7 linked regions of the Coturnix japonica genome follow. Each later gene encodes a partner of the first gene's protein in a complex. Links are inferred from orthologs where the notes say so. Each region holds a gene or a part of one and is shown in the gene's direction. Other genes may lie near its edges. The genes, in order: MTOR, RHEB, DEPTOR, MAPKAP1, MLST8, RICTOR and RPTOR.

Region 1 (3,500 bases):
GGACAGAACTGGTTACAGCTCAGGCTCCTGGGCACTAACAGTTTAAATAAAGGATGCTGCATTCTAGGTATTGAGGTTTGTGTATGGGTGCTCATTTTCACAGATTTACTGTTTCTTTCCCCACCTCCAGGTTCTTGTACTGCGTGAGTTGGCAATCAGTGTGCCTACCTTCTTCTTTCAACAAGTACAGCCGTTCTTTGACAATATTTTTGTGGCTGTGTGGGATCCCAAACAGGCCATTCGAGAAGGAGCTGTTTCTGCCTTAAGAGCCTGCCTTATCCTCACCACTCAGCGGGAACCAAAAGAAATGCAGAAACCTCAGTGGTACAGAGTAAGAAAATCACTTTATTTTGGAACAGCTGTTTTAGAAGAGTTAAGCTTTGTCTGAAGTTCAGCTTTGCTGCTGTTGTCACTTGGGTTAAGGCTTCCTAGTATCAATCACAATTTGGGTAGCGCAGCTAAATATTGTGAACTCTGCTTCCTTGTGCTCAAAAACGTGGTGCAGCTATGGATCAAGTTTGTACCATGGCTGTTTGATTAGTGCTGTAGAGAATATTCTGCAGCAGATTCTACAACTTGGAGATGATTTTTGGCTAGCAGTATGAATTACTGTTTTTCCACTGGCTTTACCTCTGTTATGATCACTGAGATTAATTTTTTTTCCTTTTCCCCAAGCATACATATGAAGAGGCTGAGAAGGGTTTTGATGAAACTTTGGCCAAGGAGAAAGGAATGAACCGTGATGACCGAATCCATGGTGCCTTATTGATCCTCAATGAGCTTGTGAGGATCAGCAGTATGGAGGGAGAGGTGAGCAAATGAGCATGATGGGGACTGTGGCTTTTGGCTACCAATCTATTGATTGACACTGGGTTGCAGCTCAGCAACCTGTGAAAATAAACCACTGTGTTTGAAATGGATTGATCTGAACATGGATCAGAGCATTGGTTGTTTCAAGTTAGATAGTGTCAGAGAAAAGACAAGTTTGGGCTGAATAGGTATCAAGCTCTGATGGAAAGTGCTATTAATTGAATTAATTATGATAGAAAAGAGTTATACAGAGTGCAGTCTCTTTTGTTTCAAATTAGATACCCAAATATTTTTTGCTGAATTTAGCTTAGTCGATGTCTTCCAGCCATTTGGATATCAATGATACAACATACTGCTTAGGAGATTTAGATAGCACTGGACTGGTTATCTTCTGGTCACCTACTTTTCTTTCAAATGTGCTTTTCTCCTTTATCCAGCGCCTTAGAGAGGAGATGGAGGAGATCACTCAGCAGCAGCTTGTGCATGACAAGTATTGCAAAGACCTGATGGGCTTTAGTACCAAACCTCGCCACATCACTCCCTTCACTAGCTTCCAGTCTCTTCAGCCTTCTCAGTCAAATGCTTTGGCTGGTCTTCTGGGTTACAACGCCCACCAAGGAATCATGGGTTTTGCAACTTCACCTGTGCCAGCAAAGTCTACATTGGTAGAAAGTCGATGCTGCAGGGATCTAATGGAAGAGAAGTTTGATCAGGTAAGTGTTCAGTCTTGCCTTTCCAAATTCACAACACAGCCTCTTGAATGTTATGGACCTCTGTGTCCTTATTAGGCAGACAATACTGCCTAATGCTGAATTGGGGCATCAAAACTCAGTAGTTCTGTGTAAGAGTGCAGTGATGTGTAACTCTCTCTGTTGGAGCAGTGGTTTAATTTGTTCATTATCTGTCTTCCTGATGGGCTCTGAAGCCAAATGTCAATAGATGCCTTAAGGTACCCAGGTAATAAGCAGTCTTGCCTTACTACCAATAGCCATCCTTCAGAGCCCAATCCATATCCTTTCAGGTGTGCCAGTGGGTTCTTAAGTGCAGAACCAGCAAAAACTCTTTGATCCAGATGACAGTTCTCAATCTCCTACCACGGCTGGCAGCTTTTCGTCCTTCAGCGTTCACAGGTGAGGAGACAAACAGCTAAATATTAGAAATGAAATTGTACTTGAAGTTACCCAGATGAGTTTGTGCAGACAATGCAGAAGTAGAAATGTGGTGCTTGGGAGACGAGCAGGCAAAATCCTCCATGCGAGTGGTGGGAGGACAGCCTTTTTTTCTGGGTAAATATGACTTGACATCTGATATTGGTGTGTTGGTCTGAGGAAGAAAATGGTTTATAGTAAGCTGTTCTCTCAGTTCTGTAATCAATACCTTAAGAAGTAGAACTTCATTTATTTTTTGTATTTGTGTGTCACGTTTAGGGCTGAGCTCTGTTCTCTTGATCACAATGAGTGTGACTTTAATACTGTGAGCAGTATTAAATTGTCTTTTTGCCAGTAAATCTGAACGTAAAGTGAGAAGTAGCTGCTGCTGCGGTTCAGCTGATTTGTCAAGCAAGCTTAGAAGAATATGTGAGTTGTAGGCATGTCATCAAACTGATCCAAGTAGGTTGGAAAATCACCATTAAGTTTCCAATCAATCACTATAAAATGAGGTACTTGTTTCAGGTTCATGTATATAATCCCTAGGCAGTGTCTTGGGCCACCTGTTGCAGTGTTCTCTAGTAGCTCTTTCATTTCTGTGGAACTTATTTTTCAAAAGAAGAAAAAGCCTTTGAGGCTGTGGGAGTTTTATTATGTAGTGACATGTTTGCCCCCACCTAGACCAGCGAATTTTATGTTGCAGGGTCCTTACCCTAATTTTCTACCTGTAAATACATAGTTACAAATTTGCTGCAACTGTATAAGCCTAAAGGACTTCCAATCTTGTTCTCTCTTGTGGGCAGCTGATCAGTATCTTCCAGACACCATGAACCATGTTCTCAGCTGCGTGAAGAAGGAGAAGGAGAGAACAGCAGCCTTCCAGGCCTTGGGTTTGCTTTCTGTGGCTGTCAGATCTGAGTTTCAAGCTTATCTGCCAAAAGTCCTTGAAATAATAAAAGCAGCTCTTCCACCAAAGGACTTTGCTCACAAGTAAGTATGCTGAAGTTAGAGGAAGAAACTGATGAGATGAGGAAAAAATGTTTGAAAAATAGCAGCTCATATTGATTAACTACTGTGTGTTCTCTTTCCAGGAGGCAGAAGTCTGTGCAGGTTGATGCTACAGTCTTCACCTGCATTAGTATGTTGGCACGAGCCATGGGACCAAGTATCCAGCAGGACATTAAAGAGCTTCTGGAACCTATGCTGGCCGTGGGTCTGAGGTAAGTATGAGGCACAGGAGCACTTTCTTCTATTAGCCACTGGATGGCATTGTTGCCCATGCAGAAGCTGATTTTGAAAGTGTTCTGGTTCTGAAGGAAGATTATTTCTTTAAATGGTTTGTAGTGTTCATTCAGAAGAGTAATATTATGTGTCTTTTGAATTACTTAAGAGCATTGGTCTCTGTAAATAAATCTTTTTGTTTTTCGATAAACTAGTGAATTCAAAGGCAATCTCCTTTACTTCCCACTGCTATTTGGCAGCAGCCCACAGAAGTTTAGAAAGCCTCTGAAGAATAGTAGATTTCTGCCATATCACGATGGC
Region 2 (4,251 bases), on another chromosome or scaffold:
ACCTCCCACATTTAATGTTTGCTAAGGGTAACCTACAGGAGAAAATATCATTCTGAATAGCTTCATAGTACCCTTGGATCCACATCACGTGCGTTATGCAAAACAAGAATGTTCTGCAGACGATGCTTTTGTCAGTATTTCTAAGCAGACATTAGAGAAAGATGATCTTTGTCGAATCCATGAGGGGCCAGGGACAAGTGTGGGATGGAACTGAGTGTACTTTCTAACCTCAGTGGGCAGCCATACATATGGGAGCACACCCAGTGCTAACATTGGGTGCAGTTCAAATAGCTCCTCCAGTAGGTGCTGGTTGGCCAGAGGATCGAGCAGGTAATTAAAGTGCTAATTGCTTTTATAGGAACTGAATGTACAAGCCAGATGTGTTTTGCATTTGGAACTTGAGTAGCGCTGTGTCCATGGGTTCGTATGCACTGAATTGCCATAAAAACATTGAACTGCTGGGTTACGTTTCCTAGAGGAAATTCATCGCAGACACAGGCAACAAAAGGCCGATGCTTTCCCATTTCTCAGCCTCAACATCTGTTCCTGATCTCAGTGTATATACACGCTCTATTTGTGCCGGCACTCTTTGTTTTGGAACCCAGACCATTGCATTCGTTGACCGCATCTGTTGGGATGTCGTTTATAATAAAACGATTATAACTCACCAACGATTGGTTGTACTGGTGTCAGTCACTCATTGCAGCGTTCTCTGAACTCCTTTGTAGCTCACAGGGTAAAACACTCTAGGAATGAAGATGCTGGATTAGCACTGGGGAGGGGCAAAGGGGAAGCCCTATTGCTAATGCTGCTGCTGGGAAGCCACAACCTCAGCACGGCAGGAAAGCACTAAGACTTATCCCAAGTAGAAGTGCTATGATACAGGTTACTTAGCCATGGAGATCCTGTAACTCACAGGGTTATAGGGCAGGAGATCCCGTAATCCACAGGGTTATAGGGCAGGAGATCCCGTAACCCACAGGGTTGTAGGGCAGGAGATCCCGTAACCCACAGGGTTATAGGGCAGGTGGGATGGGGTCTCTGGGCGGCCTGATCTGGGGGCTGAGGTACCATTTGTGAACCATGGCAGGGCATTGCAGCTGGGTGATCTCCATGAAGCCTATAAGATGGTCCCATGGCACTAGTAGAGGTTCATGTTGAGGTTAGGACTAACTCCTTCCTGTGGAGGACAGTCACACTGAGGTGATCCCGCCCCGCTCAGCCCCTCACACCCCACAACCCAACCGCCGTCTGGAGGCGCACCACGGCGCACGCGCGGCTTTTAACCCCCATCCAACCAATCCCCTCCCACGCATCCCCTTAGCCCCGCCTCCTTTCTTTGAAAACCGATCTCATCCAATCCCCGCCCTCTAACCGCGAGCAACTGCCCAATCAGCGCCCGGCGGGGCGTGAGGTGGGCCGGCATGACGCAGCGGGTTTGTGCAGCCGGCAGTCGGCGCGGTGTTGGCGGTGGGGGCGGTCGGTCGGTCCGTGCTGCGCTGCGGCCTGTGACGCGTGACGCACCGCTACGTGAGGGGACGGGCGCTGCCGCCGCGGGTTCCGCGCTCTCGGCCCATCGATCGCCGCCGCCCTCCAACCCCCCCCCCCCCCCCCCCCCCCCCCCATAACAACAACCAGCGCCGCATGAGGCTGACGGCGCACACGCAGCCTCCCGCCGCCCTCCGCCTCTTCTTCGTCCGCCTCCTCCCTTGATGTGGTTCGTGGCCGGGCGGGGGACAAGATGCCGCCGTCCAAATCCCGTAAGATCGCGATCCTGGGCTACAGGAGCGTAGGTGAGTGTTAAGGGGGGGGAGACGAAATGGGAACGGGTGGGTGGGTGGGTGGCAGGTGCAGGGCTGGGCCGGGCCCCGCGCAGTGCGGCCGGGAGGCGCCATGGCGGCGCCGCAGAGCGCTGCGGGCCCGGGAGCCAACGTGAGACTGTGCCCTTAATTGGACAGGGGACGGCACCGGGACGGGGGGGGGGAACAGCGGGGTGTACGGAGCTTTGTGCCCGTTTCCTCTGTCTGTAGACGTGTAGGATGAACGTACGGAGCGCTGCGGTGCCGGGATCGGGAGTGACTGAGTGGTGCGGTCGATACGGTGGAGGGAACGGGTGACATTCAGAGGGACCTCGACAGGCTGGAAAGCTGGGCTCGGGGGTTATGTTGAACCTAATGAGGTTCAACACTGTTTTGCAGTTGGGCAGGAAGAACCCCAGGCACCTGTACAGGCTGGGAGGAGTTGTCCTTGAGAGCAGCTCGGCAGAGAAGGACCTGGGGGTCCTGATGGACGAGAGACTCAACATGAGCCAGCAGTGCGCTCTGGCAGCCCGGAAAGCAAATGGGATCCTGGGCTCCATCAGGAGAGGGGTGGTCAGCAGGGATAGGGAGGTGATCGTCCCTCTCTACTCGGCTCTTGTGAGGCTCCATCTGTTGTACTGTGTCCAGGTGTGGAGCCCTCAGTACAAAAAAGACATGGGAGATTTTGGAAAGGGTCCAGAGGAGGGACAGGAAGATGATCAGGGGGCTGGAGCACCTCCCCTATGAGGACAGGCTGAGGGAGTTGGGTTTGTTCAGCCTGGAGAAGAGAAGGTTGCGGGGTGACCTCATTGCAGCCTTTCAATACCTGAAGGGAACTTACACCCAGGAGGGGAGTAAACTCTTGGAAAGGGCTGACAATAGCAGGACACGGGGAAATGGTTTTAAGTTAAAAGAGGGAAGATTTAGGTTGGATGTTAGGGGGAAGTTCTTCACTAGGAGAGTGGTTAGGCCATGGAACAGGCTGCCCAGGGAGGTTGTGGATGCCCCGTCCTGGGAGGTGTTCAAGACCAGGTTGGACGGGGCCCTGGGCAACCTGATCTAGTAAAGGTGTATGTTTGGTGGCCCTGCCAGGCAGGGGGGTTGGAACTACATGATCCTTGAGGTCCCTTCCAACCCGGGTCATTCTGTGATTCTGTGATCGTACGGCAACACTGAAGGAAAGAACTTCCCGGCGCCATCCAAGCCGGGAGCTGCTCTACAGCCCCACCAGATTCAGCGTCGTGGGGCACGAATGGAGCGGTGCGGCTCGGCATCGATCTGACTTAAAAGCGTAGATCGATGGGAAGGATAACGAGTGGCTGGGAAATAAACTGCTGTAGGAAGGTGCCGCTGTGCTGCTGAAGGGTTTGTGCTGTGAGTGGTGTGTCTGCGGTCGCACACTCAGCATCCGTAACAACGCCTTTTGCTTTTCCCAAGATTAAAAAAGGTTACATGAGTTGTTTAGATGCTGTGTGTGTAGCAGCAGCCTGGCTTCAAGGCTGGATAAACAGTGCTGTGTCTGTATGGTGCTGGAAGGGAGCAGCCTGCAGGAGGTTGGTGGTTCACATGGGGTGTCTAATACGGCACAGTCAGCCTCGGAGCTTGTCTCCTTATGTTTTCTTCTCCGAGTCCGGACTCAAACAAGCACTGGGCAGTGTGTGTGGGTAGGAGGAACGCTGTCAATTCAGTACATTGGATGGTCCAGGGGTAGATGATCCATTGAGCCTGACAGCACACATTGCACATAGCCATTATTAATGCCATTGCTGGTGTGACCCAGGATGATTTGGTGCTTGTATAGAAGGAGGTGAGCAGAAAGTTGCCTCCTGCCCATTAGGGTTTACTACTGTGCTCCTTCACCTGCAGCTTCATGAGACTGATGTGGTTTGGGGCTCTGTGGGACATGGTCTGTTCCATTAGGACAACTGCTTGTTGTAGACATACAGAAGAGAAGTAATAGTTTGCCTTTCATTAACCATGACAACTCTGTTGCCTTGCTTGTTCTTAGGTATAAATCTTGCATGTTTAAGCCACAGAGTTAAGTATGGGAGCTTTACGTTTCTAGGCAAATATTTACATAAAAGATCCAGCAATAGACGTGAGCTGTTGGGTGTTCTGTCATGTAGGGCTGTCAGATAAACAAGAAACATAGAGCATGACATGAAGTCAACCCAAGGATGCCTTGCAAAGTCCAGGAGAATTAACAGCATGGTTTGGCTTCAGATAGACTTATAGGTAAGTCTGATATCACGATGGCATGAATTCCACTTGAACCCTGGGTAAAAGACAGGATCCCATCCCAGATGAAATAAGGGATGTTACATTTGAACAGAGCTAGTTTTTGTCGGGGTGGGGGATAATTAATTCCAAGATCTGAAGGGCTGCTGAAGGCTTCTGAGCTTCCTTTTATAAATAGGGAACTGCCATTAACCTTAACGTTAGCTTTGACCCT
Region 3 (4,140 bases), on another chromosome or scaffold:
GAAGGTGGACGGTTAGACTGGGTGATCAGTCTGGCCTGGGAGGGAGGACCAGGTCAGTTTAATCTCTTACTAGATCTCATGTTTCTATAGCAGTCTGTGCATTAAAACATACAAGCTAGAAACATCTAAACAGGTCAATTTATGTAGCATAATTCTTGCTCTTGACTCTGAAACGTGATCCTTCAGGGTTATGTCAGCTAACCATCAAGGAGAGACATCAGGTTTGGGATGATTGATACCTAATCCCTTCCCTTGAAGCACACTGTGGCTGTCAGATACTTCAGTGTGAACATGTGGAACAAATTACAAATGGGATATCAGTGTGGAAAGGCAAACATGGCAGCCTATGAGCATTAAATAATTCAGTACAGGAAATTGCACTGACCTGTGAGAATAATCTGATCTGCAAGGAAAGAAATGTGTTTCAGGCTGCAGTTCCACAAGCACACAGAGTCAAGCTGCTGCCTTGTCACTGCCGAAACACAGCTTCTTCCCCTTCTTCCCCTCCCTCTTCCTCCTCTCTATTCCTGCTCTCAGCCACCCAGGCCCACTCCACCTCTGTGTCAGCACCAAGCCCATGAGATCCAAAGCCACCTGCATGGCTCTGCTTACCGGCCCAGTCTTCCCTCCTTGGCCCAGTTTTCCTTCACTCACCACCCATTGGTCAGGGGAATTCTTTGAGACACACTGAGACATTCCCTACAGTGACTGTGCTGGGCTGGACCAGAGGTGCAGCTGGCCCAATTTTCATCTCACAAGTGGCTGTGAACAGATGCTGGGTAACAGCAGAGAAGGCACATGTGGAACTTCTTGCAAGTGCTTGCCTTGCTTCCAATTATTTTTAGCAGAGAATTTTCTCAGCTGGACGTGGCTCCTGTCTGCTTCCTAGCCCTCCTTGCACTTATTTTCCAACTACTTGTCCATTTTTCCCTTGACTCTAAGTTGTTATTATTATTACTTTAATCAAGAGCCTCCTTTAGTTATAAATACTGCAAGTCTACATGGGTTGTTTGGAGATTAACCACCTCTTTATTTTCATCCTGGTTTATACTGGGCTCAATTCCTTCATGTGATTCCTTGTTAATGCTTGTCCTTGTTCCGAAACCACAGTCATGGTCATCCAGCTACGACAATATCACAAATACGAAGCAGATGCAGTTTTCCATGCACACAGTGTGCGCAGGCAGAGAGAAGCGCAATGAGTGTGCAATCAAGGCGTACCTTGATTATGCTTTGTTGCAAATGAAAACCCTTCTCGGACCACTGCAAGAAGTGGCCTTGGACTTGTTTCCATTCTGCTGCTTTTTTCCACCAGCAGTGCTAACAAAGGGCGTTCATGACCTCGCACTTCCAATCTCAAAGACTGAATATAGAGAGAAACGCATTTCAGCCCGCAGGAATTCTGCGGTCGCCGTCGCCAAAGGGACAAAGAGGTGCGGCGGAACGGGGCAACGTGTGATAGAGGCCCCCGGGCTGCGGGGGGGATGCGCAGGGAGCCGGGCAGCGGTGCGGACAGCGCGGCCGGGGGCATCTCCGCGCACCCCATAGCCGGGGTATGGGGCAGAGCGCAGCCCCAGCAGAGCCGCTCCCGTGCCGGGGGCTGCCGGTGCCTCCCTGCCGTGTGACAGCCGGGGGGGGCCGCTGCTGCCTCGGCGAGCCGTGCCGTGGCGGCCGCAGCCATGTGTTTCTCTCCCCGCCCGTGACACAATAACACGGGAAGCGGGGCGGGTTTTGGAGGGGGTGGGGGGGGGAAGCGAACCGAAACGGCGCTCCGTCTCCTCCAGGTGAGCGCGGCGGGGGGAGGCTGCCGGTGTCCCCGGCCACGAGCGGGGGGATCGGGGCTGCAGCGGCTGCAGCTGCGGCCGGGGGCTGGAACCCGCTCCCCTCAGCTCGCTGCGCTGTGCCCGCAGGCGGCGGCGATGGAGGAGGGCATGAGCAGTATGCAGCAGAAAGCGACCGAGCTGGAGCACATGGCCGAGGTCCTGCTGACCGGCGAGCAGCTGCGGTAAGCGGTGCCATGCCCCTTCCCGGGCTGTGCTGTGGGACCGGGGTCCCGGCGAGCGGCGGGAGGGATGGGATTGAAGACGTGCCCCCTGGAAGCCGAGCGCCTGCCCCGCTGCCCGCCCGGCCCCGGCTGCTCGCAGCCCGCAGCCCCCGGACCGCTGCGATATCGCTGCGGATTGGGGATCCCCGCGGAGATAGCGGGGCTGTGCGGCGCCGAAACTGTTAATTACAACGCCTGACTCAGTTAATTTTTAATTTCTGGGATGTGCTCGGTGCGCTGTCTCAACCCATTCACTACGGAGGAGACCAGAAATTGTAAGGCTTTCGGCTTGTCGATGAACCGTGTGATTCTGGAGGAAATACCCCATTATTATTACTGTGTGTTAAATGTGTAACTAGAAAGAGAATGGAACAAGATGTGCTCAGTGGCTTTTGCTTGAATTTTCTTTGAACTTTTTGCTCAGGTGCTGGACAAGCAGTGCAGAATGGCAGCAATGTTGCTTGCTTGGGAAGGTGCCATCCCTGCTGCTTCTGCAGGCACTGACATTGGTACTGGTAGCACTGACATGGCAAGCACCGTTGGCACTGTGCAGTGCACATCAGTGATAGCCGTATTCAGGCAGTAAACATCTCTGTGGTTTGGCTCAACTACTTCACTATGCTTAAGATTCTTCGTCTGAGCAGCTTGAAGTGAAACCTGGATTGAAAGGATCTTAAAATCATTAAGGTTGCAAAGACCACTAAGATCTATTCCAGCCATCAACCCATTACACCATGCCCAGTAAACCCTTGGTGGCACATCTACAGGTTTCTTAAACACTTCCAGGGATGGTGACTCCACCACCTCACCTCCCTGGGCAGCCTGTTTAGGACACATCAGCATGCAGGCTTGGGTGCTGGGTTTGTTAAAGTGCTGACAAGACTCCTACAGCTTCCATCTCACCTCACAAAAAGCTGAATATTCAACTGTAATGCAAAATTTCTATTGAGATCTACTTAAGACCTTCTGTATTCCTTGAAGTTAAATGTAAAAACAAAAGCTTTGCAATTGTTTTCTAAGGAGAGGATGGAAGAACTTCAACAAATCTGGCTCCCACAGTCAGCTTATTACTGTCACAATCAAGGATGACACTTATAATTTCATTGAATCATTAAGGTTGGAAAAGACATCTAAGATCATCTAGTCTAGCATTGACTCACCACCACCTTGCTCTCTAAACCATGTCCCTAATTTTATTTATTAAGGTAATTAGATGTGATGCTATTTTTGGCCAAGATCATCTACAAAATAATTATTCCCCATCCTGGTCCCATGAAGTTACCTATGGGCATTCCCTGATGCGTACATCAGAAATGGCCTAGATCACCCTGGACTGGTTTGATTGCACAGCCTCCATTTACACCTAGCTACTGCAGAATAGATTTGCTTCCCTTTCCCCTTCCCATCTTGCCCATGGTTCTGTAGTCCTATGCAGTGCCAGCTCACATCCCTGCACCTTTCCATTGTGACCAGCACGCTGGTTTTGTGAGATGATGACTGCCAGCATCTCCAGAGGATGGATGGTGGGAATATGGAGCCAGAAGGAGGGAGAGGGGGTGGTGGGGAAGAAGCAGATCTCCCATTCTGGCAGTAGGGATCTGTTGGATCATGTGGAGCTGCCCTGGGAAACTGCACCCTAAGACATCTCTCTTCCCCTATCTCTGGTAGCTGCATTATGTTTCTCTGTTGTTATGCTCTATACAAGGGTTTTCCAAACGTTAACAACTGCAGAATAGATGAAGAAGACTGTCTGGTAGACAAGTTTTGGCTAACCATGCATTTAAAGTTTCCCTTTTCCTGCCCAAGATAAGTGTGTAATTGTTAATGCTAAATGAAAACACGAAGGGCTTTCAAGATCAAAGTTTGGTTATCTCAGAAGCCTCTGGGGCAGACAAACAGACGATAGAAGACCAACATGCTCGTGCATTCGAGGAAATATGCTGTACTCTTCTTAGTGATGCTTGCAAATACTAGATAAGACCTTTTGGGAGTGATGCAGCGGGACAGGTGACTGTGTGTATTTGGGTGAAAGTGCACAAAGGCAGGTGTTGCATGCTGCAAGGGGAATGCATAACTTGGGAGTAAAGTGTAAGATG
Region 4 (3,500 bases), on another chromosome or scaffold:
ACTCACAGTAGTGCTCCCAACATTTTTAGCAAGGTGCAGTCATGTTGTGAAGGCATAAGACAAATTTGCTTGTGCTCCATGTTAGCAAAATGAAAAGAAGCACGTTGTCATAGAAAGCTGCTGCCAAAAAGCATTTCAGTGGGGCAGGGGCATCGCAGAGCCAGCAAGGGGAGTGGGGGCAGAGCAGCATTACTGGAGTACTGCAGCTGTGACATTTCTGCTGCTAAATTGAATGAATTTTAAAAATCCTAGAAGAGGTATTTTTGCTTATTTTCTGAGTATAATAAATTTGCGCTGCGATAGAGTCTGTAGAAGCCACATACATAATGCTGTTTTGATTTTAGGTTTCAACGCGCACAGATTGCAAGAACAATAACACAAAAAAGACAGCATTCTTTGTCAATGTGCTCTTTGGATGTGTGTGAGCTTAAGCCAGTGATGTCGAGATACAGAAATAATGGATGAAGTATACAGCAACAATTTGCAGATAAAAATAATAGAAGTTAAAGTGTATTTTACATGATAAAAAAAAGATGAAAGAGGAGGAAGTCTGTTACATCTGAGACGGTAACAAAATCCATGCTTGGTGAAGTAGCCTCTGCTGAAAAGATTGATGCAATGGGGAGTGACCTTGGCTTGGAGCAGGAGCTGGTGATGTATGTATGAGCATCTCTCTGCTAAATGGACCCAGATTTGTAGCACTAATATACATGGAAGCCCAGAACCAAACTCAGGATGGCAATAAATCAACAGCCACTTTGGGTGTCATTTCTGGTTTATATTCCACTATTGTTCTATCACTTTAATTCATGTCACTATCATCTGTTCATCTGGAACAGTTTTATATAATTTTCCAGTGGAGTTACCTGACAAATCCTATCAAATTAACAAGGTACGTTAACAATATTGACTGACTGTGAATGCTGAAGTTGCAGGACCATGCTGTGAAATTTTTAAAGGATATTTTTGAGGAGTGACTTTTTCTAAAGGAAGGGCTGGGGAGCATCCGTTGTGCACAAAGAATTTGCACTTTTATTCCTAGAACTTGCCTTGACTTTTTTATTATGTCATCAATTTCATGTATTTTGATTAAGTTACAGGAAACAATAATGAATAATCAATTACTGTGAGATAACAAAACTGATTTTAATTTATGTGTCCGAAATTACATTGCAAAACAAAGTGGGCTCCAGACAGAGTCAGCCTGCTCCCATTACCTAGTTCCAACAGTCCTTGTATTAATTGGACTCTTGATACAGTGCTTAATTGAAATGTGGTATCTTTGATGTGACGTATGCTTAATGACAAAGTGCATTCTTGGATTAATAGAAGCAGGGAGGGAGTCAGTGGCATTGTTACCACCTGTCTCAGCAGCCAGGGGTAAAGTGAAGGTTACCCTGTGTTCAGTGGAAAGGACAGCAGCAAGAAGGCTGCTGCAAGCATGCATTGTTTGCTATGTGTGCTTTCATTTTAGGTGCATAAAGTACTGACAAAGGTGATTTGCAAGTTCTGCAGCACTGTGCTTTTAGAAACACTGACTTTGTTTTTGAGGGTTGAGACAGTTATGACTGTGGCATCCAATGCTTATTTGTTCGCACCTCTTAGAGGTTTTATAATCAGCTTTTCTCCTGCTTCAGACAGACCAAATGCAGTGTATTCAAAAGCATCATAGCCAAAGCCCCTGAAAAGGAGAATGTTCTCTGCCATTTTTCCAAAGATGCAAGAGTAAACCGAAGTTCATTTACCCTTTGTTGCTTCCTTTTTTTCTGCTGTACCGTGAGCTTCACCTGGAAGCTGTGACTTTAAGAGGCTGAAGTTTGTTCTGTCCCATCAGCAGACAATGAACAGTGAGCTCCTGCCCAGCAGCGCAGTGCAGCAGTGCCATGACAAAGCCTGCAGTAAATGCAATGAACACTCTATGCAGGCTGCAGCTCCCCGTTAGCATCCCACTGCACAAACACTGCTTACAGGAGCTCAGGAGACATACGGAGAGGCAATAGTGTAGGAATGCTCTACACTCTGTCCCCAAAGGGCTGCAGCAGGATGCTGTGTGTGGAGGCACATACCTGTGTGCAGTGGGAGTGCAACCCAGCCATCTAAGCTGGCTGTGTGGGGCCAGGGGCTCCCCAGCTCCCAGTCTGTGATCACTGCAGCCTCATCAGAGCTGGCTGCAAAATGCTGGTGTTGTAAAATTTGTGGGATCTCTGGTGCCTTTGTTTGTGGGTATCTGGTTACCACAAAGAGCACTTCTGTTATACTAAAACACATATTGTCCTTGTGTAGAACATGTTGTATGTGTGCTGCCCAGGAGATGTAATAGTGACGTGTGATGGTGTCTCTCACATATAGTAGTGATGACTGAAAATGTATCTTCATATACATCCTGCAGTTCATGTAGGTGCTGCTTCCAGAAGAGCTCTGTGTGTGCTGAGAAGAAATTTTCCTGTGATTTTTTTTTTCTCATTGGGATGCTTATTTCCCAACAAGGCAGGAGAATAAAATACAGATTATCAATGCACTTTGATAATCATTTGCTTTTGGTTTCAAAAGCTCCTGTGCTTTCAAAAAGCCCAGAAGGGCAATATACTTTCATCCCATTTAAGATTTATAAAGTGTGTCAAATGGCTGATATGAAATCACTTAAACAGATCACTATTGTGGCTCTCTATTCTTTCTCATCTCAGGTATTTCTGGAGACAAGGTAGAGATAGACCCTGTTACTAATCAGAAGGCCAGCACTAAGTTTTGGATTAAGCAGAAACCCATTTCAATCGATTCTGAACTCCTCTGTGCCTGTGACCTTGTGGAAGAAAAGAGCCCAAGTGAGTAGTCCTTTTTATTTATGTCCTTTCTCCTCTCCCTCTCTCAGTGTGCTGGATGCCCAGAGAATTATTGCTGCCATGTCCTTTCCTTTTATAGGTGTATTTTATTCATTATAGAATGTTTTTAATCTGACTTGATTCTGTTGTAGGGAACATAACACAAACAGATGCACGTTTTATGAGTGTCCTTTTAATGCTGTTTGTAGCCAGTGGTGTTTTAAAGTTTCCTGCCCGCTGTCCGTAGCCGCCAGCAGTGCCGCACCAAGGAATCACTGGGTAGGCTGCAGCTCAGGAGTCACACACCCATTTCCACATCTTTGTGATATCTTTGAACTTCTTAACATCTGGAAAGGCTCTGAACAATTCCTCAGACACATGAGGATCTCAGACATGCAGAGAGTATCAGTCTGAAATCGCTTCCATTGTGGCTGCAGGGTCAGTTTTGATTCAGGAAGGTGGTAGGGCAGGCAGTTGCCGGAGCGCTCCTGTATGGAGGAGTCACTGGGCAGAGGGCAGAGCCAGGGAGCTCAGTGCTGTTTATTGTGTCCATGGAGCAATGAGAGTCCATATTCCTAAAACTCATTGTAAAAGGAACAAGATAAGCCCTAGGAGAATGGGACAGTGTCTCCTGGTGGCGTCAAAACGTAACTATCCACTGTCAAAAAGTAACTGAGATTC
Region 5 (3,958 bases), on another chromosome or scaffold:
ATCCCATCCCTGCAGCATTTCCATCCCGCCCGGCGATGGATGTGTCAGCCCTCGTGGGAGGAGCTGTGCGGGTGCGGGAGGGTATGGGGCTCTGAGAGCGGTATGGGGAGCTCAGCACCCCCTGGCCGCAGGAAGGCCGTTCATAGACAGAGCGCTAATTGCACTGCCATGGCAACACAGCGCCTGATCAGAGCGGGGATAAATATTTGGACAGACGCTGTCAGCTCGCCAAGACCGGGCGTTTTTAATATCCGTTATCTAACTCGAATAGAGCGCAGGTTGCCCGGATCAGACCCTGCCGGTGCCGGGCTGCAGCACCGATGGCAGCAGCGGCTCCCTCCCATGGCTGAGCGCATCTCGGGGCCGTGTCCCGCTCCCCCGCAGCGCCCGGCCCCGTTCCCCTCTTACCTCCCGGAGCCGCTCAGCGCAATGCCCGGCCGTCCCGCCGCCGTTGCCATGCGGAGCCCACGCTGCCGCAGCGCGGCGGTGCGTGCGGGGGCGGCCGCGTGGAGCCCAGCCCACACCCCCGCTCCCGGAGCATCCCCGCGATTCAGCCCCGGTACCGCCGCGCCCGGTCGGTCCCGCTCCCCCGGGACAGGGACGCACCGGCCGCCCCAGGGAACGGCTGCGCCTCCCGGTGCGGTACCGCATGGCGGCCCCGGTACTAAAGGACAGCCCCAGCCCCCGGAGCGCCCCTTACCGGCAGGTGCGGTACCGGGCGGGCACCCCCCGGGCGCGGGTACGAGCACTGCCCCACGGCCGCCACCGCCGCTCTTAAAGGGCCCGACAGCAGCGCTGCACCGGCACGGCGGGACTCTGCTGCGAGCTGGCTCAGTGCCCTGCCGGCCCTGGGACGTGTGTGCCCTATTTGTGCCCTATTTGTGCCCTATTTGTGCCCTATTTGTGCCCCGTGTGCCCGCACCCCGTGTCCCGGTACCCGCACCCCACACCCCCATCAATCCCCAGCCCCCTGCCCCGCTCCGCTCGGTGCGGCCGTTCCCATCACAGCGCCCCCTGGCGGCGATGTCGGGATGTGACTCACTCAGCGCTGACAGCGCCCCGCAGTCCCGCCTCACCGCCGCTGCTCTCTGCGCATGCTCCTTTGACATCACCGACCCGCTTGCGCAGAGCCCGTACCGGCTCCGCGGTGCCGCCGCCATGAACGCGGCTCAGGGCACGGTGGGCAGCGACCCCGTTATCTTGGCCACGGCCGGGTACGACCACACGGTGCGATTCTGGCAGGCGCACAGCGGCATCTGCACCCGCACCGTGCAGCACCAGGACTCCGTATCCTGCACCGGGACCGGCGTGAGGGGGGAGGCCCCGGTGTAACGGGGGGGGGGGGTCCCAGCTTAAGGGGGGGGCCCGGTGTAGGTGGTGGGGTCTCGGTGTGGTCTCGGTGTCATACAGCCCTTAGCACTGCTGGCAGCAGGTGAACGCCCTGGAGATCACTCCTGACCGCAGCATGATCGCAGCCGCAGGTGAGCCCCGGGGTGTTTGGGGTCGCTGGGTGCCCCTGGTATTTCTGAGCTCCATTCGCTGCCATAGGGTATCAACACATCCGTATGTACGACCTCAACTCCAACAACCCCAACCCCGTCATCAATTACGATGGTGTGAGCAAGAACATCACGTCCGTGGGCTTCCACGAGGATGGGCGCTGGATGTATACGGGTGGGGAGGACTGCATGGCACGGATATGGGACCTCAGGTGAGCGCGGGGTCTGCTGCAGGGAGAACATTCCTCCGCAGGCTCGTGTGGGCTCATTCGGTCTCTTTTTTGTTGCAGGTCTCGTAACCTGCAGTGCCAGCGGATCTTCCAAGTCAATGCTCCCATTAACTGTGTCTGCCTGCACCCCAACCAGGTACACTGATTGTCACTGGCCTTCCTGGAAAAGGTGATGCTCCCTCAAATGCTTGGCAGTCTGGAGCATTGCTCAGCCCATGGTCTTGGTTGCATGGACCCCTCGGCTCTTGGTGGCTTTGCAGCTGCACGTCCATGTATTCCCTTGCAGAGCAGCTGCTGCATGACCAGGCTTGGTGCAGGCAGAGTGTGGCCCTGCCCCTGCCTTTGCTGCTTCTTGTCAGGGAACAAACATCCTCAAGCAGGGCTGGCAGCCAGCAGATGTCTCTGGCTTCTGTCTTGCTCATACTGCACCTGCAGCAAGCATCAGCATCCATGCTGGAACCATCAGGTTTTTGCTGAGCATCTTTGTGCTAGTTACCTGCTGGCTGTTGGACACAAGCAGTGCTACCAGTAGAAAAAAGCAGAGGCCAACAGCCCCAGTAAGGTCTGTGGTGTCTTCAGGGTTTGCTGGAGATCCACCACTCAGTTCAAAAGCTGTCAGAGAGGTCACTTGGGTTAAAGAAATGGAGCTAATGGGGATGATGGGGATGCATTAGTGGGCATGGTGGTGAAATCGATGCGTATCATTGCAGTGTTAATAACGCATCTGATCCATTCTTTATCCATGGTGCTGCAGGGTGGGAGCTGCAGACAAAGCAGCATAAGGTTGGTTTTTTCTCAAAGCAAATCTTTTAAAAAATATGAATAATAGAAATGTTTCTTTGCTTTTGATTTCTGTAAAAACTCAGTATTACAAATACTGAGTTCTGGACTAAATGTGAGATTGGTCATTTGGAACTGACTTCAGCCAAATGTTGCTGCTGCTGCACCATGAGACTCAGAATGTGTTGCATTAAAACAAATACTGTGCATAAATCATGTGTGTGAGATAATCACTTTGTGTTACTGTAGAAGCAATGGCTTGTGAGCAGGACAGTTAGTTAGCCCAGAGGTGGCAGTATTTAATCAGATAGATCCACAGTATGGACAGGGTGAAGCTGCTTATTCTCAGAGAGGGATTTCTCATGGCCTGGGTAAAGCCACGGCTGTGTTAGAATTGTATTTGCAGATGCTGCTAAGAGTGGGCTAGGAGGTGTCCAGGAGATGCCTCTGCACTACACAGTCAGCTAAATATATCAAGGGATGATTGTCTTCTCCTGAAGCAAGCCGTGGGTCACAGGTACAGGATTAGCTGCATCTGATGACCTGATCTCCTCTAGGGATTCTGCTAAAATTATGGACAGTGTAAGTCTGTCGATAAAAAGCCGTGGTTTTAATGGAGTGCTGCCAGCATTGTCTGCTGCTTTGAGCAGCAGGGATTGGAGCCAGAGCTGCTGCCCTTCAGCTGGCTCCTGTCCTTACCCTCCTGGAGCAGGAGAGACAGAGAAAAACCCACTTAGGCTTGTGTTCTTCAGGTACCTGTCACTATTTTCTTGCAGGCTGAGCTAATTGTGGGTGACCAGAGCGGGGCCATTCACATCTGGGACCTGAAAACAGACCACAATGAGCAGCTGATTCCAGAGCCTGAAGTCTCCGTGAACTCTGTGCACATTGACCCTGATGCCAGCTACATGGCAGCTGTCAACAGCTCGGTGAGCTTGGGCATGAGATGGGATTTGCAGTGCTGGGTTGTCCTTGTGGGGCAAAAGCAGCCAGTTTCTATGCACTATAGAGTTTTGCTGTGCTATGATGGGACACAGAGTCTAGGCTGCTTTTGGCTGAGGTCCACAGAGCCAGTCATAGACGTCCCATCTCCTTGCAGGGAAACTGCTACGTGTGGAACCTGACGGGTGGCATTGGAGAGGAGGTAACCCAGCTGATCCCCAAGACCAAGATCCCAGCACACAACCGTTATGCCCTGCAATGCAAGTTCAGCCCTGACTCCACGTGAGTGTGCTCCTCCACCAGATCAGTTCAGCTTGAATCTTGTAAGGCAGATGATATGGGGTAAAGAAATCTGATTACTAAATACGCAGGGCTTCAGTTCATTATTGTGCCAGGCCTGCATTAATGAGGCCTTTACATGTACAGCATAACTAATAAGATTACCTATGCGTGTGTTATCCTTGCAGGCTCTTGGCTACCTGTTCTGCAGATCAGACATGTAAGATC
Region 6 (2,978 bases), on another chromosome or scaffold:
ATAAAATATTGTATTCTCTCTATTTAGTTTTTAGTACTGCTATACATGCGGATGCCTCTTTGCAGTTATTTTTCAGTATCTGCTGTAGAGTAGGTGATCTCAGATATCTGTTCCAAAAGGTGTACAGAATATTCTAGTTCATCTTTTTGATGCAAGTTTCTTCCGGTTTTATAAGACAGTGCTATCTGATTTTTTCTTTGTCTGTCAGATGTAGAATTTACATTGCCTATTACTGAAGAGCTCTAGTTCATTAATTATGGAAGCGAAGATTTAATTGTACAATTTTAGAGATTATTATGGAAACCTTCTCTCAGTACTTGTAAAAAAAAATGTTTGTTTTCTTTGCTGTTGATCAGAATTAAGGAGAAGTATCCTCAAGCATTTGATGACATATGCCTGTATTCTGAGGTGTCCTACCTGTTAGCACATTGCACATTTCGACTCCCATCCAGAAGGTTCATTCAGGAGCTGTTTCAAGATGTGCAGTTCTTACAGGTAAGTGGAGGGTGCAGAGAATCAGAAGGAACCAAAACGTGACAACTGGGTACAGGTTTCATTACAATGAATAATAAATGCTTCCAGGTGTTTTATTAAAAAAGATAATTTTACGATGTTATTCTTGTAAAATCTCTAATGACATTAATATTTCACCTGACTTCTTTCAGATGCACGAAGAAGCGGAGGCTATTTTAGCAGCACCAACAAAGCAACCAGTAACTGATATATCAGCTGAATCCTGACCTCTGTCTCACAGAGTTCATTACATACAGACTTCCTGGAATTCTCAGACATCCTCCAATTGACTGGATAATAAAGTTTGGAGCATCATCTTTTAGACTGTTCCAGAAGCTACTGGTACCTGAAGAATGAACTGAAAAACTTTTTCTTCCTCAACCAATTACTGCCCTAGTCTATGGAGTCCCTTGGGGATTTATTAAACATTATGTAGTTCTAATAATAGTAATTATCAGTATATGCAAGAGCCGAGCACTGAACACCTCCACAAGTTTTCATTTCATTTTTTACCTTAAATNAAAAAAAAAAAAAAAAAAAGAACAACACACAGAGACACCTATGATTGACTTCTAATTCTGTTCTGGAGAAGCAGAATTACGCCTTGCTTTTTTTTTTTTTTTTTTTTTTTTTTCCTTTTTTTTTTTTTTTTTTTCTTTTTTTTTTTTTTTATTATAAAACCCCAGGAGTTGGATGAGGGTGCATTCCGTTGCCAGCAATGGGGAGCTGTGCTGTGATCGTTGACAGCAGGGGATAAATGTTAGATCTTTTCTGTTGATTTTTGTACTGTTTATAACACTACTTGGGGGGTTTGTAACTTCAGACAGAAAGAAAAGCCTCTGAATCTGAGGTTCCTTTAAGTTATTTTAATGTTACTGTAGTTGTAAGTTGTTTTATTAGCAGTCTCTCCATTTTCATTACATTTACATACATGTATCTTATCTGAACCAGTTAAGGATTTTCACTACAGTTTGATTTAAAAATAGCAAATCATTTAAAGTTAAAATGCTGAAATCAAATTGTTTTCCCTGAATGATATGCATGCGTTTGCAGTTTCTACGCTCATGCTCATATAGTGTGAATGTTGGTCTTATTCTTAACTAAAAACCTTTAACAGGCATGATTTGTATCAGATAAATGAATATTGTATAAACTAGACTTGAAGACATTTAATCATTGCTGCTTTTGTGAGAAGGCATGTGAGCGGTTTTCCAAGTTCCATGAAAACAGCCTTTTATAAAAACAAAGGTTTGATTGAGTTTTCAGTGGATGAGTGATCAAGCGTCAGATAGTGCTAATAATTGTAGTGAAAAGCCTTAAGTACCAAACTTTGTAGCGACAGAACTTAAAATTTTATATTGGAATTTGAGACTTGTTGCAAAAGTTCTATGATACAGTGACTGTTAATGAGGAAAACACATGCCTCTATCAAACTGATGAAGTTTCTAAAGAGTGCAAGCCTAATGGAAAAGAAAAATATAGGAGTCCCATCACTTTTATAATGCATCTAAAAATTCAGAAGCCTTCATACAAGGGTAATATAAATATATGCAAATGTGTATATATACAGTAGCATGGCCACCTTTGTTAGAATGACTGTAATAGAAGGGGTTACCCTTTGATTTTGATATAGGTGAATAATTCAGCTGGACTGTACTAAGTAGGACGTATTTTTATCCATTCACTTTTACCATTTTTATAATTGTCAGATTAATACTTAAGTGAAGATAAGTGAAATTTATAAGATAGGTGATACTCATAACTGTATTCTTACGAGCTATGCTACTGGGGATTTCAGTAAGTTGTCTTGTGAGCAGTAAAACATGAATCCTAGTGTCATTTTAAAATGTACTTGCTTTCATTGAAAACTTCATCTTGCCGCATAAGCACTGCTTTGCAGATATCACTTCACTGAGTTCTTATGTGCACTGTGTACCATCAGGTTCTCATAAAGCAGATCTGTAAGTTGCTGCTCATAGCCAAGTCTAGTTCCTGAGATTCTTCTCATGAGTTCCCACTGAAAGAAGGAGCAGATCTTCAAATTCACGCATTTGGTAGTCAGTGACAGACATAATGTATCTGTGTCAAGAAATGTTTTGAAATATTCTGAAAACATACCACACCAGTGATGGACTTCACTGGTTATAAGAAATCTGTAAAACCAAAATGCCAACCACAGTAGACCAAATAGTGGTGTAAACTCCAAAGGAAGTAATGTAATGTTCCCAAAAATGGGGCTGGCGTATCTTACACAGTAGTTTCAAACACTACCTCAGTTAGGCTAGAGTACAAGAGATTTGTTTTAGTAACTAGATGGGGTTACATCAAACAACTCCATGTGTTGGTTTTTTTTTCTCAGTTAAAGCAAAATAAACAAGTTCTATCACCTTTATTTAAATAAAACACACGTGTTCATTTGTTACCAGCTTAATACATAGCACTTAAAGTAGAAAGCGCAATAGAAA
Region 7 (4,209 bases), on another chromosome or scaffold:
TGGTCAGTTTGCAAGTTCACTGTCACTAACACTAAATGTTAAGTTCTTTTCATCATGCATTATATATATATATATATTATAATTTATTATTTATATATATATATATATATATAATATATATGTATTTAACGTGGAGATTGTCACCCCACCTGTTTTGGGCGCTGTCAGCAGAGCAGTGTCCCCTTGTGGGAGGTTCCTGGGGAGAAGCTCATGTATGGGCTGGGTTGGGGGTCCCAGGTCTGATTGGAAATGGGGTGTGTGGCACTTGCACATCATGGACAAGCAGGCAGTGATGTCCCAGCCCCTCCTGCATGTGCAGGCTGTGTCTCGTGGCTGCAGGCACTCGCAGTGTTTCACCATCTGTGGAGCCACAGAAGGCTCACAGGGAGCCTTGCCAGGTCCCTGTTTTCCAGCAGGGTATGTCTCTGATGCTCCCCAGCTCTTCTGCAGTGTCCCCTGTGATGAAGCCTAAGTGCCAGAGGTAGTCAAAGCTCCATCCTGAATCACTGCACAGAGCCTGGAGGAACGTTTGTTGTGTGAGCTGTGAGATGAGTGGGGCATGCAGCTGTTCCCTTGGGAGAGGGGCCATCAAATAAAGGGGTAGAGAGCAGGGAACACACAGCTTTCCCAGCACAGGCCATGGGATCAGGGCAAACACCTGGCCTGGCTTTTAACCAGCCACTGCTTGCAAGCTTTGCTGATGTGAATAGAGGGACATCTGTGCTCGCTGTCCTCCACCAGCTGTGCCCTTCAGAGGTATTTGCACTCCTGGGCCACTCAGCATCATGCTCTGTCAGGACAGGCACTGGTACATTGCTCCTAATGCTGTCGGCAGCCAGGATTAGCAGCAGCACGGCCGTGAGGTCCATCTGCACTGTGTATGGATGCTGCAATCACTGCTCCCATTCTGATCGCTGCTGTCAGTGCTGGAGGTGAGCAGGGCTGCAGCTGTTCCTTATGGCAGATGCTGTGGCACCATGAAATGCTGAACCACATGAGTTGTTCACACACTGCCTTGTCCAGCCAGGAGAACGGATTGTGCATATCGAGTGTGAATGTAAAGAAGATGGGTTGTGCCTATAGGGTGTCTGTGAATGTAAAGAAGCTGAAAGCATCACTGGAAGTTAATATAAATCAAATTACGTGTGTTTGCTTTGATAACTCATGTTTTTGCTCATAGCTCTCGGATGTTATCAACGTGAATGTGGTTTGTTAGTGATGAGAGTGAAGGCACTGAAGAACTGCATTGAGAGCGATGTTTGGTGGCCCTGCTAGGCAGGGGGGTTGGAACTACATGATCCTTGAGGTCCCTTCCAACCCGGGTCATTCTGTGATTCTGTGATGTTAATGGACTTAATTAATTAATTAATGTGCAACCGCAGTCGGCGCTGTTTGTCCCACTCGGCGCTCCGTAGCACGGTGTATTGTGGGCCGGAGAAGATGGCCGCCTCCTGGCCGCGCTGCTAAGCGGAGTCGCGCTGCCGGCGCTGCAGGTCGCTTCTTCCCTCCTCTCTCCGCCTCCCCCTCCTGCCTCGTCTCTCACCGATCCCTCGGTCCCGAGGGAACGCGGAGCCGCCATGGGCCGGACGCGGCTCCCTCCCCGAGGCCCGCGGGGGTAAAGGAACGAGGGGAGGCCCAGGCCCCCCCCCGGCAGCTGAGCGCTCCTTGGGGCCGTGCTCTGCCCTTGGCCGCCCTCGGGTTGATCCGCCGCTTTGTGCCCGCTGTGACCCCTCCGCCAGCCGGGCCGGGGGCTGCCGCTCCATCAGTGCCCGGAGCTCCCGCCCCGATGGAGTCCGAGCTGCTGCAGTCTCCCCTTTTGGGGTTGGGGGAGGAGGATGAGTCGGATCTGACGGATTGGAACCTGCCCCTGGCCTTCATGAAGAAGAGACACTGCGAGAAGATCGAGGGATCCAAGTCCTTGGCGCAGAGCTGGAGGATGAAGGACCGGGTAATGGCTGAAGGAGGGAGGGGGTGGGCAGGGAGGGAGGGAGGAGGTCTGCTCGTCCCCCATTAGGGCTGTGGGCATTCATCCTGATGGGGTAACATGGTTTCCATGTCTGCATGGTGCTGGGGCTGCAGGCCATGGAACAGGCTGCCCAGGGAGGTTGTGGATGCCCCGTCCTTGGAGGTGTTCAAGACCAGGTTGGACGGGGCCATGGGCAACCTGATCTAGTAAAGGTGTATGTTTGGTGGCCCTGCCAGGCAGGGGGGTTGGAACTACATGATCCTTAAGGTCCCTTCCAACCCGGGTCATTCTGTGTGATTCATTCTGTGTGCCGGCAGGTGAGAGACAGAGAGAGCTTTGTTGGGTTCTGTCCAACTCAGGAGATACTATGACAAATATGTATCACAGCAACACACTGAATATCTCCCTCGTTTGAGCTCTGTAAGTGGAGTTTGATGCTCTTCAGTGAAGGCAATGAAATTAGTGAGGTCTCACAGGGCGCTGTGGATCAGCAGGTAACAGCACGAGGTGCAATGAATGCAGTCGTTACGCTTGTTTGGTGGTGAAGGTGCAGGAAGTGTTGTGGTTTTTGAAGTTTGCCAGCAGCGTGTTATGTGCAATGTAAAATTAAGGTGTTCTTTGTGTGTGTTTGAGAGACAGGAAACAGCTCATGTGAATCTGGAGACAGAGGACAATTATTAGATGAAACATTTGCAGTGTTATAGAACGGTGGCTCTTATGTTAGAATTTGTATTGTATATAAGAGTGATGGGCATCTGATGGGATGTCATCAATCCAGAGCAGTGTCTGTGTTCCAACTTAAGTTAAAAACAAATAGGTAGACATACAAAACACCAGAGAAACATAGAGGATAATCAGCTTCAGTCCTACAGTTCATTGAATGTGCTTTGGGTCAGAGGATTCTTGGGGTCTCATGGTTGCGATACTCATATATATTTGTATATGGCTGTATGTGGTTTTGTGTGTGACCAGATTTCTGTTACATTTCCACTTCCTTTAGTAATACTCTGACCTCAGCTTGGAATCTGCAGATGAAACTCATTCCTTTAATTTCTTTCCAGAGACATTATGACTGGGAATGAGGATGCTGTACATTCATTTCCTAGAGAGGCATTCACCCAAACAGCTCTGCAGAGTGTTGGGGAAGCAGTGGCAGAGCCAGGATCATCTGAGTGATTATGTACTGAAAATTTGACTTGGCAGATCATTAATGGACTGAATTAATTTTTTGTTTAGAGTCTAATTTAGATGAGCCACAGGACACAGTTTTGTAGGTATGCCTCCTTTAAAGGCTTTTGGCATGGAAGCTGTTTGCTCTACTAGACTGTGGAGGTGGGATGAGATTACTTGTCTATTTTAGTGATCCTTCTGCCTTCCTGTGGATCTTCCTGTTTGCTTGTTCGATGATGTGCAGAGCTGTCTGTTTCTAAATTGGGAATGTCATTGGCTTGATAATCAATAGGTTACAGCACGAGCATGAGTAAAGAGGTAGTAGTAATCAGTTGTATTTGTTATAGTGCATTTCATACATACAAAGGGAATCATCTCAGTGAGGAGCAGAGCAGTGGTTACAGCATTATGCGCCTGTGGGGTTGCAGTTTCTTTCTCTTGGAGTACTCTGCATGTCTCACAAAGCTCAGCAATTCAGACCCAGCATTCATCCTTATGCAGACTGAGACTAATTTCTGTGAAATAAGAAAGTCGAAGCATGTCAGAATGTTTCTGATTATTCCTTCTGTTTTTGCTGTGAGCTTGAAACAACTTCTCAGAAGTGCTTGTCACTGTGTATTTGGACAGCTTTATTTGCTCTCATTTGGACAAGTTTGCCATTCTGTGCAATTACCTCTTGCTGAAGAACACTACTTTCTTCCCTTCCTCCTGAATTCACGTTACTGCTGGGTTATGCTCTCTGGTTTTATAAAGAATTCCTCTCATCGTCTCATAGCTGATTTCAGAAGGTTGCTTCTATCTGTGGAGCATTGCAGCACAGTGAGGAGAAGTTGGTGTTATGGCCCTGAGTCAGCATTGGAGGCCTCTGACACCTGTCTACAGTTGCTAATCAAACTAAAACCAACATGTAACTGTCTCTGTCTGAGTGCTACTTTGTCACACTCTCCTGGTTTGTTGTTTCCCTTCCTGGTCCTCGCCACCTTCTTCCCATCTGATTCACCTCTGCTGTGCTTTTCTCTCTCCCAGATTCTACTGAAAGACTCAGAGAGGGCTGGAGGGGTTGTACCTGTTAT

The links.
Region 2: the proteins of MTOR (region 1) and RHEB are in contact, whole or in part, in a cryo-EM structure (PDB 6BCU), measured with the Homo sapiens proteins. The link is inferred for Coturnix japonica from reciprocal best matches to the Homo sapiens genes MTOR and RHEB. Residues at the interface, in NP_001373429.1 of Homo sapiens: Arg62, His69, Glu73, Ala101, Thr102, Ile104, Gly105, Arg106, Asn109, Tyr110, Arg112, Asn113, Phe140, Glu143, Tyr144, Phe147, Glu154, Arg160, Thr969, Gln973, Phe977, Lys980, Glu1010, Phe1011, Gln1014, Met1018, Ser1050, Thr1051, Asn1264, Lys1293; in NP_005605.1 of Homo sapiens: Lys5, Ser6, Arg7, Lys8, Arg15, Pro37, Ile39, Glu40, Thr42, Gln57, Ala62, Asp65, Tyr67, Ile69, Gln72, Thr73, Ser75, Ile76, Asp77, Asn79, Asp105, Met106, Val107, Gly108, Lys109, Val110, Ile112.
Region 3: the proteins of MTOR (region 1) and DEPTOR are in contact, whole or in part, in a cryo-EM structure (PDB 7PEC), measured with the Homo sapiens proteins. The link is inferred for Coturnix japonica from reciprocal best matches to the Homo sapiens genes MTOR and DEPTOR. Residues at the interface, in NP_001373429.1 of Homo sapiens: Met304, Gly305, Phe306, His1494, Cys1498, Trp1501, Gln1525, Asp1527, Ser1528, Glu1530, Glu1531, Cys1534, Met1535, Ile1536, Arg1538, Arg1547, Gln1554, Leu1556, Leu1559, Gln1562, Cys1563, Lys1566, Arg1683, Leu1685, Asp1686, His1687, Lys1710, Ile1711, Phe1714, Gln1715; in NP_073620.2 of Homo sapiens: Arg54, His56, Leu57, Lys58, Thr59, Tyr60, Pro61, Val101, Arg116, Lys119, Asp121, Gly122, Thr123, Phe124, Lys131, Ala132, Arg135, Arg138, Lys142, Glu177, Gly178, Glu179, Glu185, Cys304, Asn305, Lys307, Gly335, Asp336, Ala337, Val338.
Region 4: MTOR (region 1) and MAPKAP1 share a complex: the UniProt entries of both Homo sapiens proteins name them as parts of the mechanistic target of rapamycin complex. The link is inferred for Coturnix japonica from reciprocal best matches to the Homo sapiens genes MTOR and MAPKAP1.
Region 5: the proteins of MTOR (region 1) and MLST8 are in contact, whole or in part, in a crystal structure (PDB 4JSV), measured with the Homo sapiens proteins. The link is inferred for Coturnix japonica from reciprocal best matches to the Homo sapiens genes MTOR and MLST8. Residues at the interface, in NP_001373429.1 of Homo sapiens: Leu2269, Arg2270, Met2271, Ala2272, Pro2273, Asp2274, His2277, Leu2278, Thr2279, Leu2280, Met2281, Gln2282, Val2284, Glu2285, Val2286, Glu2288, His2289, Asn2292, Asn2293, Glu2536; in NP_001186102.1 of Homo sapiens: Tyr20, His22, Asp42, Ser43, Gln44, Val45, Asn46, Tyr62, Asn87, Glu105, Gln148, Thr174, Arg221, Tyr222, Leu224, Ser268, Arg270, Gly271, Trp272, Trp274, Ser290, Lys313, Val316.
Region 6: the proteins of MTOR (region 1) and RICTOR are in contact, whole or in part, in a cryo-EM structure (PDB 6ZWM), measured with the Homo sapiens proteins. The link is inferred for Coturnix japonica from reciprocal best matches to the Homo sapiens genes MTOR and RICTOR. Residues at the interface, in NP_001373429.1 of Homo sapiens: Arg1028, Asp1032, Lys1068, Leu1069, Asp1108, Asp1109, Tyr1110, Asp1150, Lys1187, Asn1196, Val1200, Gln1207, Asp1210, Val1211, Cys1214, Arg1215, Lys1218, Gly1219, Tyr1220, Thr1221, Leu1222, Ala1223, Glu1226, Glu1227, Asp1228, Leu1230, Ile1231, His1234, Arg1235, Arg1238; in NP_689969.2 of Homo sapiens: Leu204, Arg205, Gly206, Asn209, Arg245, Asp247, Val248, Glu249, Glu251, Arg252, Leu254, Thr258, Asp259, Phe260, His261, Tyr262, Arg263, His264, Ser265, Pro266, Asn306, Gly308, Ser311, Gly314, Val315, Cys317, Ile318, Pro319, Glu345, Ile347.
Region 7: the proteins of MTOR (region 1) and RPTOR are in contact, whole or in part, in a cryo-EM structure (PDB 6BCU), measured with the Homo sapiens proteins. The link is inferred for Coturnix japonica from reciprocal best matches to the Homo sapiens genes MTOR and RPTOR. Residues at the interface, in NP_001373429.1 of Homo sapiens: His597, Thr600, Pro632, Val644, Ser645, Gln646, Thr647, Ala648, Val649, Ala653, His686, Ala688, Gln689, Glu691, Met721, Asn722, Pro723, Ala724, Phe725, Met727, Pro728, Phe729, Arg731, Lys732, Leu734, Ile735, Leu738, Thr739, His743, Tyr771; in NP_065812.1 of Homo sapiens: Phe278, Lys282, Cys283, Ser285, Leu286, Pro288, Gln380, Ala381, Asp383, Leu384, Asp387, Glu411, Gln412, Thr414, Ala415, Val418, Trp419, Thr421, Met422, Arg427, Asn428, Glu431, Gln432, Lys973, Ile974, Asp979, Leu980, Glu981, Ser982, Lys986.

Annotation. Positions count from the first base shown.
Region 1 is NC_029536.1:3,612,817-3,616,316, reverse strand, and holds part of MTOR (serine/threonine-protein kinase mTOR), read left to right. Parts: intron 1-130; coding exon 131-331; intron 332-675; coding exon 676-810; intron 811-1,247; coding exon 1,248-1,523; intron 1,524-1,831; coding exon 1,832-1,940; intron 1,941-2,761; coding exon 2,762-2,948; intron 2,949-3,049; coding exon 3,050-3,178; intron 3,179-3,500. UniProt on the Homo sapiens protein: Serine/threonine protein kinase which is a central regulator of cellular metabolism, growth and survival in response to hormones, growth factors, nutrients, energy and stress signals.
Region 2 is NC_029517.1:5,599,776-5,604,026, reverse strand, and holds the start of RHEB (GTP-binding protein Rheb), read left to right. Parts: upstream 1-1,451; 5' UTR 1,452-1,741; coding exon 1,742-1,793; intron 1,794-4,251. UniProt on the Homo sapiens protein: Small GTPase that acts as an allosteric activator of the canonical mTORC1 complex, an evolutionarily conserved central nutrient sensor that stimulates anabolic reactions and macromolecule biosynthesis to promote cellular biomass generation and growth.
Region 3 is NC_029517.1:123,194,282-123,198,421, forward strand, and holds the start of DEPTOR (DEP domain-containing mTOR-interacting protein), read left to right. Parts: upstream 1-1,340; 5' UTR 1,341-1,433; intron 1,434-1,713; exon of another isoform or gene 1,714-1,784; intron 1,785-1,910; 5' UTR 1,911-1,919; coding exon 1,920-2,005; intron 2,006-4,140. UniProt on the Homo sapiens protein: Negative regulator of the mTORC1 and mTORC2 complexes: inhibits the protein kinase activity of MTOR, thereby inactivating both complexes. DEPTOR inhibits mTORC1 and mTORC2 to induce autophagy.
Region 4 is NC_029532.1:8,139,174-8,142,673, reverse strand, and holds part of MAPKAP1 (target of rapamycin complex 2 subunit MAPKAP1), read left to right. Parts: intron 1-2,684; coding exon 2,685-2,822; intron 2,823-3,500. UniProt on the Homo sapiens protein: Component of the mechanistic target of rapamycin complex 2 (mTORC2), which transduces signals from growth factors to pathways involved in proliferation, cytoskeletal organization, lipogenesis and anabolic output.
Region 5 is NC_029529.1:6,430,075-6,434,032, forward strand, and holds the start of MLST8 (target of rapamycin complex subunit LST8), read left to right. Parts: upstream 1-1,158; coding exon 1,159-1,287; intron 1,288-1,429; coding exon 1,430-1,481; intron 1,482-1,548; coding exon 1,549-1,711; intron 1,712-1,789; coding exon 1,790-1,865; intron 1,866-3,285; coding exon 3,286-3,438; intron 3,439-3,608; coding exon 3,609-3,733; intron 3,734-3,918; coding exon 3,919-3,958. Other genes in the region: hexosaminidase D-like, read right to left, coding at 1,043-1,160.
Region 6 is NC_029547.1:11,150,918-11,153,895, reverse strand, and holds part of RICTOR (rapamycin-insensitive companion of mTOR), read left to right. Parts: intron 1-356; coding exon 357-495; intron 496-665; coding exon 666-740; 3' UTR 741-2,978. UniProt on the Homo sapiens protein: Component of the mechanistic target of rapamycin complex 2 (mTORC2), which transduces signals from growth factors to pathways involved in proliferation, cytoskeletal organization, lipogenesis and anabolic output.
Region 7 is NC_029533.1:4,901,798-4,906,006, forward strand, and holds the start of RPTOR (regulatory-associated protein of mTOR), read left to right. Parts: upstream 1-1,409; 5' UTR 1,410-1,786; coding exon 1,787-1,948; intron 1,949-4,209. UniProt on the Homo sapiens protein: Component of the mechanistic target of rapamycin complex 1 (mTORC1), an evolutionarily conserved central nutrient sensor that stimulates anabolic reactions and macromolecule biosynthesis to promote cellular biomass generation and growth.